Linked DNA regions of Drosophila melanogaster. The protein of the gene in region 2 purifies or fractionates together with the protein of the main gene of each other region. This does not show direct contact. Each region holds a gene or a part of one and is shown on either strand. Other genes may lie near its edges.

Evidence for each region.
Region 1: the proteins of Plekhm1 (region 2) and DEF8 purify together in Drosophila melanogaster (affinity purification with mass spectrometry, with the first as the bait; one large-scale study listed by BioGRID). This does not show direct contact.

The regions. Positions count from the first base shown.
Region 1 is NT_037436.4:12,124,534-12,135,119, reverse strand, and holds DEF8 (differentially expressed in FDCP 8 homolog), read right to left. Parts: upstream 2,975-10,586; 5' UTR 2,898-2,974; coding exon 2,144-2,897; exon of another isoform or gene 2,092-2,143; coding exon 1,367-2,091; 3' UTR 1,286-1,366; downstream 1-1,285. Other genes in the region: CG5645 (uncharacterized protein), read left to right, coding at 1-171, 232-395, 461-1,244; Lsp2 (larval serum protein 2), read right to left, coding at 3,605-5,710; CG34241 (uncharacterized protein), read right to left, coding at 6,717-6,935, 6,992-7,021; Ir68b (ionotropic receptor 68b), read left to right, coding at 7,726-9,633; yps (ypsilon schachtel), read left to right, coding at 10,234-10,408.
Region 2 is NT_033778.4:22,099,094-22,110,912, reverse strand, and holds Plekhm1 (pleckstrin homology and RUN domain containing M1), read right to left. Parts: upstream 7,737-11,819; 5' UTR 7,662-7,736; coding exon 7,532-7,661; intron 7,472-7,531; coding exon 6,972-7,471; intron 6,837-6,971; coding exon 6,135-6,836; intron 6,082-6,134; coding exon 5,918-6,081; intron 5,862-5,917; coding exon 5,339-5,861; intron 5,268-5,338; coding exon 5,124-5,267; 3' UTR 4,950-5,123; downstream 1-4,949. Other genes in the region: Vrp1 (verprolin 1), read left to right, coding at 1-367, 553-707, 890-1,326, 1,934-2,062, 2,133-2,427, 3,708-4,018.

The DNA.
Region 1 (10,586 bases), on a different chromosome or scaffold from region 2:
GAAATGATCCAGGCGGAAAAGCCTGCATTCAATCCTGAGGACGAAAAGACGTACAGTGAGTACATCGATGAGTACTACCAAATGGATTGCGAGGACATCATCGGGGATCAACCGTGTCGATTTAAATATGTGGAAACCACACCAAACGATTTCGGTTTGACGATAGAAGAGGTACATTTTCGATTAGCTTCGTTAAAGTTGAACAATGATATTATATTTTCTGTTGAATAGATCTTGCTGGCCAAGAACAAGGAGCTTAACCAGTGGGCTAGCTTAAAGAAAGCTGTCCAAAACAGACCGGAACACGTAGAGAAAAAGGAGCAGCGTCTCTACAAGATGAAAGCCAAGAATGAAGACCTTAAGCGAAAGATATTTAAGAGTCTTTATGGAGAAGGGTGAGTAACTTACAATAAAATTTCGATTTCGAACGGGTGTGTATTAAAACTTGACTCTCATGCAGTTCTGACGATGAGGAGCAGCCAGCAGAAGAGAAACCAGAAGTGACACCAGCTGAAGCGACAGCTCCAGCCGAAAATGGTCAAGTCTCGACAGAAGGTTTGTCCAAATCAAAGAGGAAACGCCTGAAACGTAAGGCTGCCGCAGCAGCAGCCAGTGCTCCTAAGGTTCTAAAAGAAGAAAGTGACTCCAAGGATCCAAAGGAAGCGGATGGATCTACTGAAGATGTCCAGGCAGAAAGTTCTAAGAAAAAAGTCGATACTCCCTCTAAAAAGGGCAAAGATGACGCAAATCAGGAAACTAAAAACAGTCCACAAAGCACGGAGAAAACGAAAAACAATAATGCCTTAAAAAATAACAAAAAAGAGCCTAAAAACGTGCAAAATGGATTCCAAAAACCCCAAAATCAAGCAAATAAAAGTGCAAAGACAAAGTCGAACCAACCATTTAAAACTACGGAAAGTGCGCCTGCAAAAGCAGAAAAATCAAATGGTAATAATCCTTTCAATAAGCCACAATCGAAATCCCAACAAAGGCAGGAACTGCCACCAATTCATAAAAATCAAGGTGGAAACAAAAAGGGACCGAGAAACGCTAACGGCACCAATCCCTTTAAGAAATCAAACCAAAAGCCAAGTGCACCCTTCCCAGCTAAGAAAACGAACAACTTTAAGGCGAAAAACAAGCAAAATAACAATAGTGGAATAACCGACGATCGATTAAAGGCATATGGCATAAATCCCAGAAAATTCCACAAGCGGGAAAAATATGGAAAAAAGGATAACTAAAGAGTTATGATAAATCTAAGAATAAAAGTTCATATATAGTTATACATTTTATAGTTACATTTTATGTACATATGATAACATATTAAAAACCAACACAGCACAATGAACTCTGATTTGATCAGTTATTCTGCGGCAGTCACGTCATCATCGGTGGCCACTCCATCATCATCATCATCATCGTCCTCGGTGCTCTTCATGCGATCCAATTGAAGACGCCGCTCTTGGATGCGAATGCATTTGGGGCAAATCATATTTTTGCGCGTGAGGCAAACTCGGTGGAAGATGGAATTGCACTGATCACACTTGATGCAGCCATCGTCGAAGGGAAAGATCACCTCGTTGTTGCTACAAATCTCGCAAATGTACGCTTGGGCAAGGCACATGGGGCAGGATCGTATGTGATCATTGAATGCCTTGAAAACTCCTTGCAGAAATTCGCTCAGCGCTCCAGATTCCACCTGGCTGAGATCACTTAGGGAATAGAACTCATTTGACTGGGCCAGATGTCGCCGGACACCCAGTTGCTGATCCACCAGCTTCAACTCGCTGGCAATCTTGCAGGCAGCCAGATAGTGGCGCATATGCACCAGATTTTGGCGAAGTTTCTTTACCGCACACAATTTTTCTACGAACACAAACAGCTTGGGATTGTCCTCCTCCAAGCGAATGAGCGGTTTATTTAGGAACAACCTAATCTCTTGGAGCGCCGTGCGCGACACTCTGCGTGGCGAAAAGTCCCAATTGTGGATAATGCGGGCTGGTATAAAGTTACTGTCGTTCCAGTTGCAGCGAGGGCAGTAGTACAATCCACTATAGTCGCATAGACGCGGCTCAATCCAGGTATTTTCTACGAGGAAGGAGTCTAATTATTCGGAACCAAAAGAGTAGCCTTAACTTACTTATATTTAGCATCGTCCCGCACTCGGCGCACTTGTATCCCTGGGAGGCGAGTCCGATTTCTGGACATATCTCCGAAATGGGATGCTGCCGCTCTGAAACCAGGACATGGGCACAAACCCTCTTCACGCCATCGATGCACTTCTGATGGACCAGGAATCCGCAATCGCTGCACACGTACGAGTTCTGCACCACACTCCAAATAATGGTGGTGCAGTGGTCACAGTAGTTCCTCTTGGCGGCTGCCTGCAGACGATTCCGTTTGCCATGATGCGGGTGATGGGGCACAAAATGATGACCCACCACAGCACGTATGGCATTCATAACTACCATGTCCGACGATAGGGAATGCTGCTCCTGGGCCTCCTCCAGCTCCTGCAGTGAGTATCGCAAATCTACCAGGTGCCGCACCAACCAGCGACGCTCCTCGCTGAGTTCCTCGCTCAGCAGGACGAGATCTCTGCAATGGGCGATGGCCGCCTGCAAATCCTGGATATTGGCATCGCTGGTGAAGATTAGGCGCCATTGCTCGCGCACCAAGGACGCGGGAATGGGCAACGCCCTGTACTCCGCACCTTGTGGACCACTTTCCTCGGAGCCTCCGGCCTCGGATCCAGATCCAGTGGAGCCAGAGCCTCCAAGGCCAACTGTTGATCCCAGCGTGGATGAGGCGTGTAACAGGTTGCTGGCGCTCTCGTTAATCAACTGCGCCACCGTGCCCGGAATGCTCGTGAGACTGTCCTTCCAGGAGCTCATTTTTGGGGAAGAACAACAAAACAAGTCTTTGTGTGTTTTTTTAGCGACCAGGGATGCGAGCAATTGGTGCAGATGAGCGAACTAGTTATCGTTCACGGGGCAAACTGCAGGTGGTTGTACGCATCCCTGGAATGCACCTTAATACAGTGAAAGAAAAAATGTGAGGGTTAATTATTTATAAATATTTTGAATTTAACTTTTAATATTTTTAAAATATGATACAATTTGAAACCATATTCTGAAATATGTCAAGCGTGGTTTGCATAAAGCAAATATTTTTGTTACCATATTTTACCATTTAATATTAAATTGTAATTTAAGAAATCTAACAATCTATTGTGTTTATTCCAGATAAAAATGCCTATTTTTAACTTGAAAATTCGTCTGCTAAAAACTGTAGGCTTTAAAACTAGTATCAATAAGCCCTTTATTCTATTGTTCCTTCTATTTACATATATTCTGTAAGTAGAGGAAAATAACTAGAAAACCAAAAATATATTTTGAAAAATTGAAAAGAGAGTGACTTGTGTTGAATACGTTTATTGTTCGATGGTCACAAGGTGGACTGACAAGCTGGGTAAAAATTGAGTTAAATTACGATCTCTATGGGGTAAGTGGATGCAGACAAAGATATAACAAGGAAAACATATGTAATCTATCCAATATCGTTGGTTCGTTTTGGGGTTCGTATTCGTTGGGTCCAGGATCTAGACCACATTGGTGTGCTCGTCGCGATGGAAGATCTTCACGTCGACGAACTTGAAGTTGTGGACATCGAAGTAGTAGTCATGCTTCACCGGCCTGTTGAAGGGGAAACCGAAGGGCAGGGCGTCCACGTAGCGGGAACCGTGTCCCACGCCGCAGCTGACCACCGGATCGTAGCCAGTGAACTGGGCAACCTCGGGCTGGTGGTACGGGTAGACCATGTAGAAGAACTGGAACACCTGGCCGCCCTTCTTGCCGCGCGGCAGCATCATTCGGTTGGGCACGCCGCAATGGGCCTCCGACTGATCCAGCTTGAACTTGTAGTCACTGTTGGTGGCGTCCATCAGCTTCTGGTAGAGCTCCAGGTAGGTGGTGCGATCGTTCACCCAGAAGGAGAAGTCACCGCTGGCGCGCTTGATGTGGTTAACGCCCGCCTCCAGATGCACCTTGAAGTGCTCCAGCTCGAAGAAGTTCTGGTAGTTGTGCTCCAGTGGGATCTCGTGTCCGTGCTCATCGTACTTGGGTCCAATGAAGACCTTCACAACGGCATCCTGAGCCTTGTCCGAGGTCACGTCCAGGGTGAACTCGAAGGGCTTGTGGTTGAGACGCTGCTGGCGGGCCTTGATCACATAGCTGGATCCCTTGTAGTGGGAGTTCCTGCCGAAGGTGTACAACGGATCGGCGGATCCCTCAACGGCGGGCTCCACATTGACGGCATTGCTGATGTCCGAGTCGAAGTGCTCGAAGTAGGTGGTCAGACTTTCGGGCATGTGGACGGCATCGATGTGGACACCCTCGAAGGCGTAATCCTTCTTGTGGTACTCCGGATAGGTCTCCATCAGATGCCAGTAGTGGCTGACAATGGTCTTGTATACCTCGTAGAAGATCGGATCGCGCATAGAGGTGTCGTAGTGCATGAAAAGGCCAGGGAAGCTCTCGTCACCATGGCCATAATGGTGGCCCTCGTTCACAATGAAGCGGTACAGCTTGTCAAGACTGCCGTAGAACTTCTTGTCCACGCTGTCCGCATTGCCCTGGATGATGTTGCCCAGCACATTGATGGTCTCCACATCGAACTTCTCGTTCTTGTGGATCCAGTCCATGACACGCTGCGTGTACATCTCCACATGCTCGATGTGCTCGTAGTTGTGCTCGTGGTAGAAGCTGTGGTGATTCTCCCGGTGCCATTGGGGTACGCCGTAGTAGGTGCGCAGGTTACTGGCATAGCCGGATTCGGTTGGCACATACATGTTGAAAGCGGGCACCTCGCCGAGATCGTGGGACAGACGCTCCAGGTACCAACGGGCCAGCAATTGCCAGTGGACATACAGGTAGAGCTCACCGCGACGATCCTTGTTAAGGACATGCTCCTCGCCGCCCTTCGTCCAGAACGGATAGTCCAGATTGAAGTAGTAGTAGAAGGCATTGAAGCCAACATCCTCCAGGTAGTAGGCCAAATCGTGATCGTAGTTCAGGGAACCGTGCACGTTCGAATAGTTCGTACGGATCACCACGTTGTAGATGTTGTCCATCTGCTTGACATGATGGAAGCCGTGCATTTTGTAGTGCTCAGCCCATTCCAGTGCCTGGCTATCGAAGTAGCTCCATGGGTGGATCTCGTAGTGGGCCGGCAGGACGACTCCCTGCATATCATCACGGAACAAACTGGCAATGGTCACGGCGTACACGAACAACTGCTTGTTTACGTGCTGGCGGGCCCAGTAGACGACGTGCTGGAAGGTCTCCCAGTTCTTGGCGAAGTAGAAGAGACGCACCAGACCCACCACATACTCCTCGTGCTTGTCGTACATCACCGACCACACCATGTCATCGGTGAAGGGTTGGTGTTGCCACAGCTCGAAGAAGTGCTCCAACATCTCCGGGTGCACATAGTCGGCCACGTGCTCCCACGGCTTGTACTCCACGTAGCTGCCCCCGAAGGGCGTGGTGAACACATCGTCCTGGTAGATGTGCTGCAGGATCTGGTACATGAACTTCTGTTTCATCAGAAAGTCCTTGTCCGCCACCTTGGAGTCCAGGTGCTTGGCCTGGCCGAGAGTAGCCAGCAATGCCACTGCAGCTAACGCAATCACCGTGAACGACTTCATCTTCTCGAGTCGATTCGAATCGTAACGCTGCAATGATCGGTAGCCAGTATTTATACCCCCGGATCGGCGATACGCAGATTGCAATCCGGCCAATGACCGGTCGCATCCGTAGCCTTGATCCGCGCCATCGCCGGATCTGAACGACCCGCGAAGCTCTCAATCTTAGCGCCCATGCTGCATCCATAATTGCAGGTGATAAGACCGACGATTAGGCGGCCATACCAAGATCAATCCTACATCATTATCTAAATTCAAGAGTGAGCCACTAGAAACTGGTGGTTAGGTGAAGCAGCTGGAAGATCCAGTTAAGATTTCCTCGCTCCAGAGACACCTTCTCCAGCTGTCTAAATAGGAGAGTCTAAAAAAAAGAATGCCCAAAATATCACGATTACATTGATACTATTTATAAGCAAACCCACTTGCATTGTCAACTTAAAAAGTTCATACCACAGCACATTAAAAACGTGAATTGGTACACCTATTTTGTCGCCGTGTAATGACTTTCATTTTTCCCCATTTTTCCATTTCAAACTGATGATCGTGCTTTTTTCACACATATCAACAACAGGTGTTTGACGGGCCCCCTTGATTAACCTATTTCAAATAGTGATTAAGATTACATGGCCACCTGATCTCCTGTCAATTGAGGTGTTACCAGGCGGCTTCCTTGATAAGTTTGCTTTGTTCGCCGCATCGATTCTTTATCAATGCTAAAAATATTCCGAATTGCAAAACACGGAGCATCATGTTGCTGCGACAACAAATCCCGGACAACAAAGAACAATGGACCATCGAATGATCCGCAGGTCAATGGAGAACATATCAATCAATCAGACCCATTTCAGTCCTCGGTTTTTATACTGCTATTAAATGTCCTTCAAAATAAAAATATATATGATTACAGGATAGGAAATTATGACGTTCTATGCAAATGCATATGATCTCATTAGTATATCTATACGTACATATCTTTATTTTAGTTTACACAGAATCTACAAAATTTATTTTACGAAAAGTAACCATTGCGTAGATAAACACTATCCAAATTATTTGGCGGCTGGATTCGTGGAAGTCTTCGTACGGCCTCCCGATTCTCGTCGGGAGTCACGTTGAGCATCTGCCCCGGATGTTCCGCTCGTTGGTTTTGGCAGGAGACTCTCGGTTCCGGGGATCTGTAGAACTCCGTGTTCCTTCGGCGCGGATACATCTCACAGGTGGTCAGGATCTACAGAAAAGCACGGAGATAAATTTGAAAGACCAAAAGAGAAATGAAATACTTACGGGCTGATTTGAAGACGTACCCCTATCCATGGTTAAAAAACTTTTATATTCGAAATAAACAAATTTTGAAAATTTAGAAATTTTTCAATGATTTTGTCCGGTTACTCGAAAGATATGAAAAGAAACCTAACCGAAACGGGTGAAAATAGTTTATGAAAACCCGAAACCATAATCATGGCATACTTTTTTTTAGATTTGCGTTTCAAGTTTTGAAATTGGTATTGGTATATCTTGAAATATATATTTTTATATTATTCAGACTTCGAGAACATATGAGTCTCGTCTATTCAAGGTGATCACATTGCTGCGTCATTCGCAAAGTCTTCAAAATATGATTCATCCGATTTAGAATAAACAACACCTTATCATTAGAAGTATACATTAATGCAAAATGTTGTTCAAATGTTTAGTTGCTAATCAAAAGAAAATGATTTCTTTTATAAATGCATAATCTTATTGCTTTTTAGAAACTCAAATAAAAAAAAACCCATTTTATTGCAAACCTTCCGTTTACTTTCATTCATTTTCTGTAATGTCCTTTTATTCCTTTTATAATTATTTTGTAGAAATCAAGTTTTGATAACTTTTTTCAAGTTACCCCAAAAATATTAGCCAACTAATGAACTGCTCACGCATCGCTTTTCCTAATTGGGAATTACGGCTCCCATGGGAAATCCTCTACAGGTGTTGTGTTCACCCAAAGGATATTTCACTGGTTAGTCTGCTCGTAGAACATGAAGTTTTTGGTTGGATTGCTGCTCCAATGGTATCTTCCTGGCATTTATGCCCTTGCCGAGATTGCCTGTCGCATAGCCGTAGAGCAGAATGTCCAGGTGACCTATCTGTACCGCTGTGCCAGCTGCCCGGCATCCTTCGATGCGGATTACTCTGCCTTGGAATTGGATCTCTATCGGTGTGTGGGCAGTAGACTGCCCGTAATCACACGGAACATGGAAGCACATGAGCTGGAACCATTTAGACGAACGGACAGCCTAAGCATCTTTCAAATTCCGGCTGCCGAAAAGGGTGATTCCTTGGTACGCCGCATCCTGGACATGTTGAATCCTCACCAGAGGCGCAAGCATATGCACAAGTATCTGTTTGTTTGGCCAAATGCCGGAAGGCATCAGTTACTGCGACTTTTTCGCGGCAGTTGGGCCAAGAAGCTGCTCTACGGATTGGCCATTACCGGCAGGGAAAATGGCACCTTTGACTTTGATCCCTTTGCTTGGGGTGGTCTCCAAGTGATTCAGCGGCTGGATGGCGAAGTGCCGTACGCAAGAAAGGTGAAGGACTTGCGCGGCTACCCATTGCGTTTCTCCATGTTTACGGATCCGTTGATGGCGATGCCCAGGAGTCCTGTGGAGACAGCTGGCTATCAGGCAGTGGATGGAGTGGCGGCCCGAGTTGTTGGCGAGATGTTGAATGCCTCAGTAACATATGTCTTCCCGGAGGATAACGAATCCTACGGTCGTTGCCTTCCGAATGGAAACTACACCGGCGTGGTCAGCGACATAGTCGGTGGTCACACCCACTTTGCACCCAATTCCCGCTTCGTGCTCGACTGCATTTGGCCAGCGGTTGAGGTGCTGTATCCCTATACCCGTCGCAACCTGCACCTGGTCGTGCCCGCCTCCGCAATCCAGCCGGAGTACCTGATCTTCGTGCGTGTCTTTCGGCGAACTGTGTGGTACTTGCTCTTGGTCACCCTTTTGGTTGTGGTGCTGGTCTTCTGGGTGATGCAACGTCTGCAGCGAAGAATTCCCCGTCGCGGAGTCATCCAGTTTCAGGCAACGTGGTATGAGATTCTCGAGATGTTCGGCAAGACACATGTGGGTGAACCGGCGGGCAGGCTATCCTCCTTCAGCTCGATGAGAACGTTCCTCATGGGTTGGATCCTCTTCAGCTACGTCCTGTCCACCATCTACTTTGCCAAACTGGAGTCCGGATTTGTGCGACCAAGCTACGAGGAGCAGGTGGACCGAGTGGACGATTTGGTACATTTGGATGTGCACATTTATGCGGTGACCACGATGTATGACGCAGTTAGGAGCGCCCTGACGGAGCACCAATACGGTCTGCTGGAGAACCGTAGTCGCCAGCTGCCACTGGGAATAGCCACATCCTATTACCAGCCGGTGGTCCGGCGCAGGGATCGACGAGCGGCCTTTATCATGCGGGATTTTCACGCCCGTGACTTTCTGGCCATCACCTATGACTCGCAGGCAGAGCGACCAGCCTACCACATCGCCCGGGAATATCTGCGCTCTATGATATGCACCTACATCCTACCAAGAGGATCGCCCTTTCTGCACCGCTTGGAATCTCTGTACAGTGGCTTCCTCGAGCACGGCTTCTTTGAGCACTGGCGTCAAATGGATCTGATCACCCGGGTTGGTGCGTCGCCGGATGCTGAGGAGTTTCTCGAGGATCTGGGCGACCAGACGGACACGGATTCCGGCTCCAACGAGTTGGCGATTCGTAACAAAAAGGTGGTTCTCACTCTGGACATCCTGCAGGGCGCCTTCTATCTCTGGTCCGTGGGGATTGGCATAAGCTGCTTGGGATTTGCAGTGGAGCACGCTCATTGGTTTTGGCGGAGACAGACACTTCGGAATGCGGTTGAAGCTAGAACAAGCTAACTAAAAATATTAAAAATTACTAAATAAAAGGTACATATATGTTTGTTATTGTAAATACTATACTAAGTTTTCAATAAATTTCACCGCTGTTTAGTTGGACATGTTGTTTTATACATTTTAATGATAAAACTGTAGTTTTATATTATTCTAACCATTTAATGAATTTAACCATTTATTCCAATTAACCTTTCTTGTAAATTTAAATGTAACGGCTTTTTATGTTGTTATGGCTTAACATTCCGCGCGTAACAGCACACTGGAGACCCCCAGTATCAGAGCATCGATAGCACCCATCGATAGTCCGATCACCAGCAACCCTGCCTCCGGCTGTCATGTTTCACTTCCGGAGCTTGCGAACAAAATAGAATCGCTAAGGCAAAGAAAACCCTGCGAGTGGCGAGTGTTTTAAGATCACACTCAAAAACAACATCCAAAGTGGTTAGTGGCAGTTGAGAGAGTGCCCAAGACCCCGAATACCAGCCGGGCAGACACGAACAACACCAGCAGCAGCAGCACCACCATCATCAACAGCAGCAGCAGCATTTCCCGCTTTTCGTTTTCGTCGTCGCCGAACAACAAATAACAAAACCACGACAAACGATGGCTGATGCCGCGGAGAGTAAGCCACTGGCCGCCGAACAGCAGCAGGCGCAGCAGCAGCCGGAGCAGCAGCAGAATCCGCCGAATCCGCAGGAGCAGGATCACGAGCAGGAGCCGCTGGACGAGCTGCAGGGACAGCAGGGCCAGCCCGCTCCGCCCACCAAGGAAGTCATCGGTAAGGCTGAAACTCGCATGTTAAACCCAATTCCCAACCAATTTCATTCATGTGCCGCGAACACATGGCGGCTGCTACCAAAATAGCAATGAAAAAAAGGAGGAAAAAAGAACAAGAAACATGCCTCCCTGTATGCGTGTGTGTGTGTGTGTTTTGAGTCTTAAAATATACGCGCGTC
Region 2 (11,819 bases):
ATAGTTCAAAATCAACCGTGAGTGCCTCGACCGCGTCCTTAAACAGCAGTCTAACCTCCTCGACGGGATCAGTACGCAATCTGGCGCCAAATAAGTCCACTCTATTTGGTGGCAGCAGTGGCTCTAGTTCCGGTTCGAGTTCTGGTGGTGGTTATGCATCTGTGCATAAATCCTCGCCACCCTCAACGGCAGATAGCACGCCGTCGGTGACGCCCACACCGCCACCGCTTCAGCTGCCGATGAAGCCGGCCATCAGCTTTGGCAAGCCCAATTTTGCTCCGAAGCCACCGGGCTTGAATCAACTGGCGATGGCCAACGGACAGCAGCGTCCGGCGGTGACCAGGCACCACAGCATGAAGTCGCCCAGGTATACCGATACAGATTTAGCTACAAGCTTCAGTAACACCCTAGTAATCCAGCACCGCAGCTAACGCTCATCTGCTTTCATCAAACTCCGTTTGTGGTTTTTCTTACGCTTCTTGCTTTTTTGGCTTTAACAATCGAGGAGGACCTAAAATGAATTCAGCTAATCTGGGGAAGTTTCTTTTACAGATCTCCGCCTGCGGCCGGTATCGTCAACGGCCTTGTGTTCCCCACCCAGCAGCATTTAGGCACCCTGCGCGGTCCACTGCAGTTCCATGGCAGCGAATCCAGCAGCCCCAACACCAGTGCAGGCAGTATGAGATGTGCCCCTAACCCGCCAAAGTGTAAGAGTCCTTTCCTTGGTAATTTCAAAGTTCAAACTATAAATGAATGGTTTTATCTTTTTTGTTACCCATACGGCAATCTTAATCTTTTAACGAATTCAAAATTGTATATTTTACTGATAATATTGAAATTGATGAGATTTAACTTACGCTTGTTCTAATTGTTCAACATACATTTACAGCCCGCCCATCGGTAAAACCACCACCGCCACCCACGCCGGCTCGCAGTTTCTCCAACACCAATCTGAACAATATCGGCGGATCGACGATGTTCAGTGCGGTGAACACAGCTCTTATCCAGAGCTCGGCCATCAGTTCTCAGGCTCCCTCACCGCCAATTACCCAGCCGCCATCATCGTCGAGCAGCAGCAATAGCGTGGCTGCCCTGCGCGACCAATTCCGTGGAGGCGCCGGAATGTCTAACGGAGCACCATCACCGCCACTGCCGCCGACGCCCGCACCCTCGTCCAATCCATCCTCAGCAAGCGCCAGTCCCAAATCGTTGCTGCGAGACAATGTCAAACCTATTATCCTAAATGGAGGTCCTCTAAATCCGCCAGCGCCGCCACCACACCGCAGCTGCCCACCTCCGCCGCCTCCACAGCGACAGTCGAGCAATGTAAGTAGCAAACGGACAGGAATAATATCAGCGCAGAACAACAGGTTGGCCCGAATGTCAGAGGTGAACTTTAATGGACTGCGATGCCTTGGGTGGTTACCTTGGGCGTTTTGCCTATGTATTGAGCAGATGTGGGGCCGAAGTCAGGGATATACATATATTTTAAGTAAACTAGGACTGACCATACTGAGCACGTAAATTAATACTATTCTTAGTCATTCGAAATGCTCTTAAAGGTAAACCAGATAATGGGTGAGCCGATGTATATTTGCTCGGCACTTATCCTTAAGTAATCATCTAGTTTTGCGCAGTGCATTTGTTGCTCGCTTGAACTCGGGCCACCCTTTTCACCCTATCTGTCTTCGTTTAAATTAAGATTCTCACTGCGCCTGCGCAGTCTCACCTGTTTGTAAGCGCTCCTGGCTGCGCACTGCCTGTTCATATCAGTCCAAGCTAGTGTTCCGTTTATAACTCACCTATTTTTGTGTTGAGCGGGGTGGATTGATTTTCCAAACGAGACGTGACCAAAACACTGGGCTTTTACACACAACCCATTGCCCTAAGCGTATTCCGTGGCCCAGTGGCCCGCATTCATGTGCTCCTCCAGCAGGACCGAGTGAAGTACTGGATAGACAAGACGGTGTACTCCTTTAAGAAGATACTCCATATAAATCGCCAAGGGAGGCACAGTGGCGAGTCAGTCAAGGTTATCAATATGCTTAACAGCAAGCGCAACGTAACTACACGCTATGATAGCCCCAAAAACCGCAGTAGAATCAAGCTAAGTGACTTCTCGTTTCTTACAGGGTGGTTCCGGATCGGGATCAGCGCCAGTTCCGCCGCAGCGTCACTCATCCATTCGGCCCAACGCCCCATCGACGCCACCAACGCACATGGCCAATGCCTCGCATCAGTTTGGCAGCAGCTCGGGCTTGTCATCAGGCTCGGGAGCAGGAGCTGCAGCCAGCGTGGGTCGACTGGTCAACGACTTGGAGACCAAGTTCGGGAAGCGATTCCACAACGTCACTGAATTCCCCAAGCCGCCGCCGTTTCTAAATATACAAAAAGTCTATCCTAGTCGCACGTTTAAGGCCACCAATGGTATGTAGTCGAGTGTGTGAGCGAGTGTGTTTGTTTTGTGAGTGTTTTATTTAAGTACATAAACATTTAGATGCATTGTAACTGCGATTATTGTTATATACACACCACACACACACACACACACACGGAATGCTGTTATATAATTAGTTTTCTCTTAAGGCACACGCTCCGGCATTTTAGTTTCGAACTCGAACGATCTATACAACGATTCGTATATCTAAATAATTTTAATTTTAAAAGTGTATTACTACCAGTATAGATTATTATTGTATAGGAAGGGAAAGCCCAGGCTTACAATCCACAGCACACACATATATATGTTAAATCCCGCAGAGTTTAGTAATCTTTTTAATTATTGTTGTTTATTTTACTGTTAACAAGCAATGAAATGATTGCGTAAAGCGCAGCGGAGGAATGTTATTTTGTATATTGATTGCATAACACTAAAGTTGAATAGCTTTATCCAAACATTATATATTTTATAAATTTTAATGTTATATTTTGTTACATTTCAAAAGGGAAGGACTATGGAAGCTTCCCCTCGCGATATTACCACTAAGCACACACAATATTATTACGCATAGTTATATTTTTACCCAATCTATACTATAACTTTATATGTACGTGTATATGTAAACAGAAGCCAACCCATATTGCATTGTATTTCCCTGCGCCCCCATTTACATTTCTCCTACATGTAGCGCATGCCTTTACTTTTGTACCCGGCTATCATTTTATATATATTGTACCTACCAACGTCTCTATATATATGCATATATATTATACCCGATGAATAATTTTTAGTATGCAACAGGCACATTACGAGTAATTGTTTGTTTTAGTTTCGAAGTTATCTTTTGAAGAAACAATAAACCAAAATTCATTTGGATAAAATACATGAACATATTTCATTTGTTTCATTTTGTGTTTAAGTTTTCTCCAGTTTTTGGGCTGCCTCGGCGGCAGATTTCTTCGCTTGGTCATTGGTTCAAATTCATTTGTCCGTTTCAGAAGATTATTACTTCAAAAATATTCTTCAATCTATATAATTTTGATTTTTATGAAATATTTTTGTAGCTTTATTTCAGAATTTCAAGGCACATTGTGCACATTGTCACTTCTGCCGCATATTGCACTAAAAGTGTTCTTACCATTTGTATTTCGTTTTCGCTTGCATCATAGCAGCTCCTTTTGGCTTAGTTAGTCTTCGCTATTTTATATATCTATCCATGTTTGTACATATATCTTTCTCCCCGCTACTCCGATTCTTCCGCAAACAGCACCCGGAAACAGCAGCGTGAACAACAACAACAACGCGGTGGCAAGCAACAATAATACGACCTCGAATCCTAATCCTGGCGGGTTCGGAGGAGGATTAGCTCCAGTGCTAAAGCCGGCGCACGCTCCACTGAAAAAGCATCGGGCACCGGCTCCACCTCCTCAAGCTGGCGTGGCAGCCGCCACGGTATCAGTCATCCGGCAATCAAGTTTCCTTTACGGCGGAGCGGCAGGTGGTTCCAGTGGCTCCACCAGCATACGGCCACAGTCCCAGCCACCTGGAATCGGTCCGCGGAACTCCACCGTCTACTGAACTTAGGGCTTGATCTGTATATACATAAGTGTGTGCATGTGGAGTGTGTGTTTGTGGCTCGTTGTTGATGTATGTTGTAAGCGGGAGTGTTTTGTGCCACAGGCAAAAGTTCAAAAGTCAATGAAAAGTGCAATAAACCAAATACCATGGCACACTGAAAAGACCCAATAGAGAACCTGAAGAAAGGGCAGGCCCATGCTAAAAAATCACCGATAATTCGTTCGCGTCTTCCCAGGCTGCACTTAATAAATGGCTAAAGCAGAGAACAAAATAAGCCGCACATAAAATTTGTATATAGAATTAGCACCAAGTTAGTGAAATTAATTACCCAGCTCCATCTATACCTTTTATAGGCGGGTGTAAATGATTGTATGTACATTTAGGAGCGCGCCTCTTTGCATAAATATCTTACTAGACTGAACATGTTAAAACCCAACAGCAACAAATAATTAATGTAATTATATACATACGATATTTAGAATCGACTATTGTACGACTTAATCCCCTAGAGCAATACACACACACAAACAAGAGAAATATGTTAACAATGAAATACTGAAGCACAACCGAGGGCATTTCAACGAAACTCGCCACATTCCATTTCAAAATTCTTTAGTTCAATGTGCAATACGAGAGTTGGTGTGATAATCTCGAAAGTATTTAGGTATTATCTATCATCTGTGGTTTTCGGTAAACGTTTGTTAAACTCCTTATTGGGCGATAATTATTGGAAGTGAACATAATGCATATTTATATTATTATCCTTATTATTAACTCAATCATTGTTGTTGGACTTGGTGTCATTAGAAGTATTATTCAGCAATTGCATAACATTTTATTCCGAATCAAAATCATTGCAGTTATAAATAAAATTACGAAGTCATTCAAAAACTGAGCAACTGAGTGGTTTCATTGAGTCAACAAAATTGGTAACCATTTTTGCAAAGCCATGTTATGTATGCTATATATTTGAGTAAGTGTAAATGCTTTTAAGCCATAACAATTTTTATCTTAACCCTAGCTTAAATGTAAAGTAAAGCCTTTTCTTGGTTACGTGTAATAACAAATCGCACTTGTTCAACCTAAAATCTAAATATGGCCGATTTTAGGCAACCTCATTCTTCTGTTTAAGACATTGCACCGCCTCCTGGAGGCCCTGATCCTCGCGCTTACGTATTCGTTCACATTTGGGACATGGCTGCTTCTCATTCAAACACTCAGCGTGGAACACAGCTCCACAGGCCAGACACTGTAAAAAGATGTGTGAGCGCCAGTATGAAAATATCTGTCATCTTGCAATTTCTTGATAGTTCGACTCACTCTGAATGTGGTGCTGATGTGAAAGGGATACAGCACCCTTGGACTCTGGCATATCTCGCAGATGAATCCTTTTAGGTGGCACAGTCTGCACTTCAAGACATGCGCTTCCCCCAATTTGAAGGCTTTCTGCAGCTGCTGACACAGCACACCTCGCTGAATAAGAGCCAAATCTGCTATGGAGTACAGATGAATGTGCTCGTAAAGGTACTCCCTGCCAGCAAACTGATTCTGGAGAAGCTCTATGCTGCTCGGAGCACAGGTATACAAATAGGCCCTAATGAAGTTTAGTCGGATCCGCAGGGATTGCAATTCAGCCATGGCATCGGAAGCAAAATATATTCTCGGGTTAAGCAACTGCATGTCCAGGAATGGATGCGATCGGAATTCGGCAAGGAAAGTTGCTGCCCGCTTGCTGACGCTGTACTTTCGGAAATCCCAATTGTAAATGATGCGAGCGGGTATCAATTGCATCTCAACATCCATGCAGCTATTGCAGTAGTAGCTGCCACTAAAGGCGCAAACTCTAAGGGTAGATACAAATGTAAGTGGGATTAATAATGGACAAACGGATGATCTCACTGAAAGTTGGAGTAGCCAATGCCCAGCGGATGCTGACAGCTCTTGCACAGGAATCCCTGGGCATCCAGACCCGGCTCTCGAGCTAGTTGACACAGCTGGGCCACCATTTGCTGCAGCTCCACCATGTCAAACTCTGAGGTAAGCAGCTCAAACTCCGAGTTGGTCTATAATAAGATAGCATTTAATTTATAATAATCTTAGTTCTCAACCAACTTACGTCCAGTGACTGCAGATCACTCAAGTCTTCTGAAATGGGCGGATCGGTATCTCGCTGAGGCTGAGCCACATTGAGGTTGGAGGCACTGGCCCGAAACTTCTCCCAGATCTCCGACCATCCGGCTCCACTTTCCCGGTTGCTTTCGTGTTTCCGCAACAGAGCATTGTAGCTGCATCTGTCCGTAGTTGGAGAACGCAGACTGACTGAACTACTGACGCTCACAGATCGCTGGAAAAACCTAGATCCTGTCAGTTCCTCTGTGGGTGATGTAGGCGTTGCTTCCAAGTCACCAGACCATGAGGTTTGCATTAGATTGGACAAAGAATTACTGCCCTGGGGCAGAAGAGAAGGTGCTTCAAGATCCAGATCGGCGAAGGAGCTGCTGTCCATTTGACGATTGGATTTTTTCCTCGACCTCGTCTTACTGCCAGATGGAGCTTCCTGCTCTGCTGTTTCATTCGTTTCCGCTTTATCGCCACCTGTTTGCTCCTCGTTAATCACATCCATTTCATCAAACTTTTGTATCAGCAGGTCCAGGTTCTCTCGCTGGCTGAGTTCGGGAACACCAAAGTTGCTATTCCTTCCAAAGGGGCTATTCGAAATGGACTCCGAGAACAGTTCATTGGTCTGCAGGGGCTGTGGCGTCGGTATGGCAATGATATCGGATCCAAGCGAGCTGGCCACATCAACTCCGCTGCTAATCTGCAATGGTATACACAAATTAGTCCACTTGTAGCGATAAAGACCAGGAAAGGCCCTCTTATCATAGGAATTTTGGATTGTTGAACTATACGATAAGTCTAAGCCGAACATTCTTGGCAGGATAAAAGATCATACCGGGCAGGACTTGAGAGCAGGTGTCCAGAGATCAGATAGCTGCAGGGAGTAGTCGGGCCAGTGGTTCAACAGGCTGGAGTTCACTGGCAGATCGAATTGCACATAGGCCTCCAAGCTCTCCATAATCTTGGCGGCCGTCTCCAGACCCTCGGAGTCCCGCATAAGGGCGTTTCGCTTGTAGTACTGCGACAGGGCCGATCCGTTCTTGCGCATGTTGTTCAGATAGGAGGAGAACACAGACTCGTTAAGCGACTGGCGCACCCAGGCGCGGCACTGCCCCGTCTCTGAGGTGATCTGGCTGAGACCCTGCACCTGCTCGATCACCTGCTTGTGCATAAAGACCATGCAGGGCGCCCAGAAGCTGGGCTCGGGCCTGCGTTCCACATCGCCAGCGATGACATTGAAGGTGGCGGACAGGAAGGAGTCCTTCAGCCCGTGCAGGAACAGGGCCTCCAGGGTGGTGCACAGGGCACTGGTCTGCTCACATACTCCCAGGACCTCTGCAATACGTGAATGTATATAAATGGATGGCCATTTCCGGGGGAGTACCCAGAACTCACCCAAACTCTTCTGTTTCACCTCGAACTCTATCTCACGCGCATTTTCGTTCAGTGTATTTATGAGCGCCTCCTTCACGACATTCTCCCGTTTCGAAGAAAAATGGTTCAGGCTGCGGAACAGGGAGCTCATTTGGATGTCGATCCGCACCTTTTGTTGTGGTTTTCCGAGGGTCTAAAGAAATTAACATTGAAGAAATCATCCCCAAAGTGTGACCGTATGCCAGCCCCAAAACAACAAAGAAAAATATACTAGTAATAATTTAGTGCAGTTAGGAAAATGCGATTGTAAATGTTTGCATAGAACATGTTTCACAAAACGTATATAGTTTTATTCTAGTTTAATGTTATAAATTTAAAGTAGTAAAATTAAATTGTATGTAATAATTTAAAGAAGCCCGCGTTCTTCACAAGTTATCGATAGACAATACTTTTTGAAAACCTCAAGCTGCATGGTCACCCTGGAGCGTACACTGGTCAAGTCTGACGTCATTTTGAAACGGTTCTTAACCGATTTCATTTAAATTCAAAATAAATTAAATTTTTAAGTCCGCCAGCCAAACAAACCGTGTCCATTAAAATCTGCAAAAGTGCGCGCCAAGGCAAGCAAAAAGGTCAGATCTTTGAAACTTCAGCGCATTAAGCCACTGAAACCCGTTCTGGTTATTCTTGACTTTCTTCTCAGATCAAATCGCAAATCTCGGCTTATGTGTGAATGCTCGATTATGAGGAAAAAAAAACCCCACGCAGGCTAGCAAAAAGTCACAGCGAAACCGTCAACGAGACAGAATATTAATTGATCTCGCTTGGATCTTTCCTATCCCCAGCTTGTCACTGTCTTGTTATTGTGTTTTGGGTATTTTCGGGTTTTGTTTCAATGAACCGCCATATATTCTGCGGCCAAATGACTCATGCAGATCTTTCGGCCGCCAAGGAATTTTATTAATGAAAGACCATCCCGACTTGTTGAAGGAACCAGAAAAAAAACCCATGCACGTAGTCAGTTGATATAATACTAAAATCAAAATTTGTGTTAAGGTCACGGTGACCAACAAAGGCGACTTTATGTATATGCTTGTTGTTGTCAACGCATTTTTCAATATTTTTGCAATAAAAACGTTGTTGTTTTTACAGAAGATGCGCCGCTCTTGTAGTTGTGAACCAACTGGTTCAGCATTCAAAATGCAAACTGGTCTCAGCCGCCAATTTGTTTGACTTTTCGACTTTTTTCGGCTTGTTGTGTTGTTTTTCGAAAAACACATTTTCCATGTGGGCTGTGTGCATTCAGCAAATTGCATTTTATTCAATTTTATCGATACGAAACGGGTTACCAAATCATTAATAACATAAACAATTTGGCAAATCAGCAATTGCGAGAGTTGTTTCGTTTATTGGCGGCATTCTTTTGGAATGATGTGTTGATGTGTTGTTTTACTCAATACTCACCATGAATTTTAAAATAGAATTTCAAACCTGAAAAACAATGAGTGTATCGGGTGAAATTAGAATTTATTGTTAATAAAACTTGTTAAAAATAATCAGATTTTAATTTATGAATACAAAATGTTATCTTGAGATCTCTTCATGAAAGTTGGAAAGTTGAAAAGCAACCATAACAGAGCACTTAAGTTTGAAATTTACATGCCTATATACTCGGGCTTCCCCAATCCAAATTATATATATATATACAAGTCGGATTTCGCATGGTGAAAAACCGTTGGACTTTGTTGTGCGACATTAATGACGATAAACAATTAATACGGCGCTTTGGGTGAAGGGTCGCGGCGACATTTCCCAACTGAGCCGACTCTATTAAAGTAAATAATATGTGGCGCTTTGTTGCCGCTCTTAGCTGACTGTGCAGTTTCCGAGATGCCAGCGTGTTGCCATTGTTGTGGCCAAAAGCCGAAAAGCCAAAAGAAACCAAGCCAAACGAAACGAAACGAGACGAAGCGGCCTGAAATGTATAAAAACGTTTGTTTTCGTAATACAATTTTGATTACTTCTTCGACGCCAGCCGCCCATTGATGGGCATTGTCTCAGCTGGGCCCCTTTGTGCGTCCCTTAGCGATTTGATTTATGGGCGGAGGAGCTGGGCGCCCAATACTCCACTCCAACAGCGCTACCGTTGGCCATTTGCCGGGATCGCGGTCCATTTGGCAATAGCTTTGTTGTAATTGTTACAATAATAACAGCCGTGATTCCCGACACCACTGCCCCCCATCAACTGGGCAATCACTGACATCGCAGTGGCATGGTTTTCGGGGCTATTCCAAATAGATATCATTCAAAGATATATTTCTCAGGAATAAGCTTTTTTAGAGATTATAGAATTTAATATTATATATACTGCTACAATTTATGTGAACCCCTTTCCTCAAACTACGCCCATTTGCACCAACTGATGGGGCGAGGAAACTCTTTTTGAAGCTCTTTTGATCGTCGAAAGCCAAATGCCGGTACAAATGCTCAAATGCGGAACCAATAAGCTGACATAATTTTTTGTGATGGGCGCTGAAAAAAAAAGAAGATTTGCTCGGGCCAAATGATAATTACATTCCAGAGACATCTGAAGATATGGTCACGGTTGGCTTTCGAATGCGATCATTACCGCACTTAAGTTTGAAGACCATAGAAGATGGTTATTCAAGGACGTAACAGAAACATATCGTTGATACTAAAGTACGAGACTATTGAACTACCTTCTATATGCAAAATATGAAAAGAATTTCATATGGGGGGCGATCATAAAGGTGATGACTTATGAGCACGAGGTGCGATGATCTAATCACCGGTCGCGTCAATAGCCGGGCGGGCCGAAATGCCAAAAGTTCATCGATCACTGACACCGCCGACCAACTCAACGCATCTTTACTGAACGCTGATCTGCCAAAAGTCTGATCGATCGATCGATTGGTTCTCTGACTCAGACCAGTCAAGAACCCAATGCACTGAGCCAGACTGAAACAGGCAAGTTTGAAATGTGTTTATGTCAACGCCGCGATTGTCAAATATTGTATTAATGAATTGAGATGGAGTCGAGAACAACAAGAACTCGCTGTGGGAACAGGATCTGGCGAATCTGTGGCACATGGAAGGCATAACTTATGCATTGTTAGCATAATAATTTTCCAAAAATCAAGCCAAACCTGTCAAAATAAACAAACCGAACGGAGCACATTCGTTTTCAATAACCATTTGCATTTCGTGTGTGTTTAATTTATGCGAAAGTTGTGTCTATTTGGGAGGCGATTTAGCTATTGTCTTGTAAATCATTTAGCGAATAGCACTAATGTTAGGCGACTGTTAGCTGGATGTTAATATTAACACCTTATCGAAATGCGGGATCAACTTCTATTTTGGTATGCTTGCTTCGTTGATATTAATATATAATACATATTACATATATTATCTTGTTCGTCATATCTACTAATCTCATAAAGATATTCGTGCTATAGACGCATTTTTAAGATAACACAAAAGTTGGCTTACAGGGGTTAATATCTGAATCCGATCATGTTGCTCGGCTGACCTTGAACGTCATTGGCAGTGCGTCAAAGTGTGGCGAGAGACCAGTATGCAAAAAAAAACTGATCACCTGGGGTAATTAAAATAATTATTTTGCACTCTTTTCCGGTTGATAGTAGTACACACACACATGGCGATCAGAAGGGTTGGAAAATTCGGGGGGAAGCTGAAAAAGGCTCTTGAATAGATAACGCTTTCGCGCGTTCGAAATTCCCATTTTTCCCAACTTACTTACTTGACACTCTGCCGCCGTCGCAGTCGGCGTCGCTGGCGACGTCGCGGCTTTAGCCAAGTCGAGCTTGGAGCAGCGGCTCTTGGCCAAGTTTATTGAAAGCGCAGAATCCGTGAGCTACGGACGTGTTTCGCTCGAGCGCATCGCGCATCTCCCAGATACGACCTACGATCTCCATCGCTCTTGCTCGCTCGCACCGCCGCCCTCCGCGCATAGCACCCTCTCGCTCGCGCACCGAAGTGATCGTGATATCGTGCCGCGGATTTTATTCCGATTGAGAAAAGGCGGTGAAAATATTACACATTATAGTTGTCGGCTTCGATTGCGACGCCTGCGATTTTGTCATCGCGATCATTGTTGGCCGGATCGACGGCTCCTACGCGATATAATTGTATTCCCGCCGATCTCGCTGCCATCCCCTTTGGGCAATGCCCAATTCCAAATTGTTAATTGCGTGACAAATTCGAAAAGGGGTTAATATATAAAGAGAAATAATACGAGCAGTAAGCCAAAACGCGAAGCTCCGTGCTC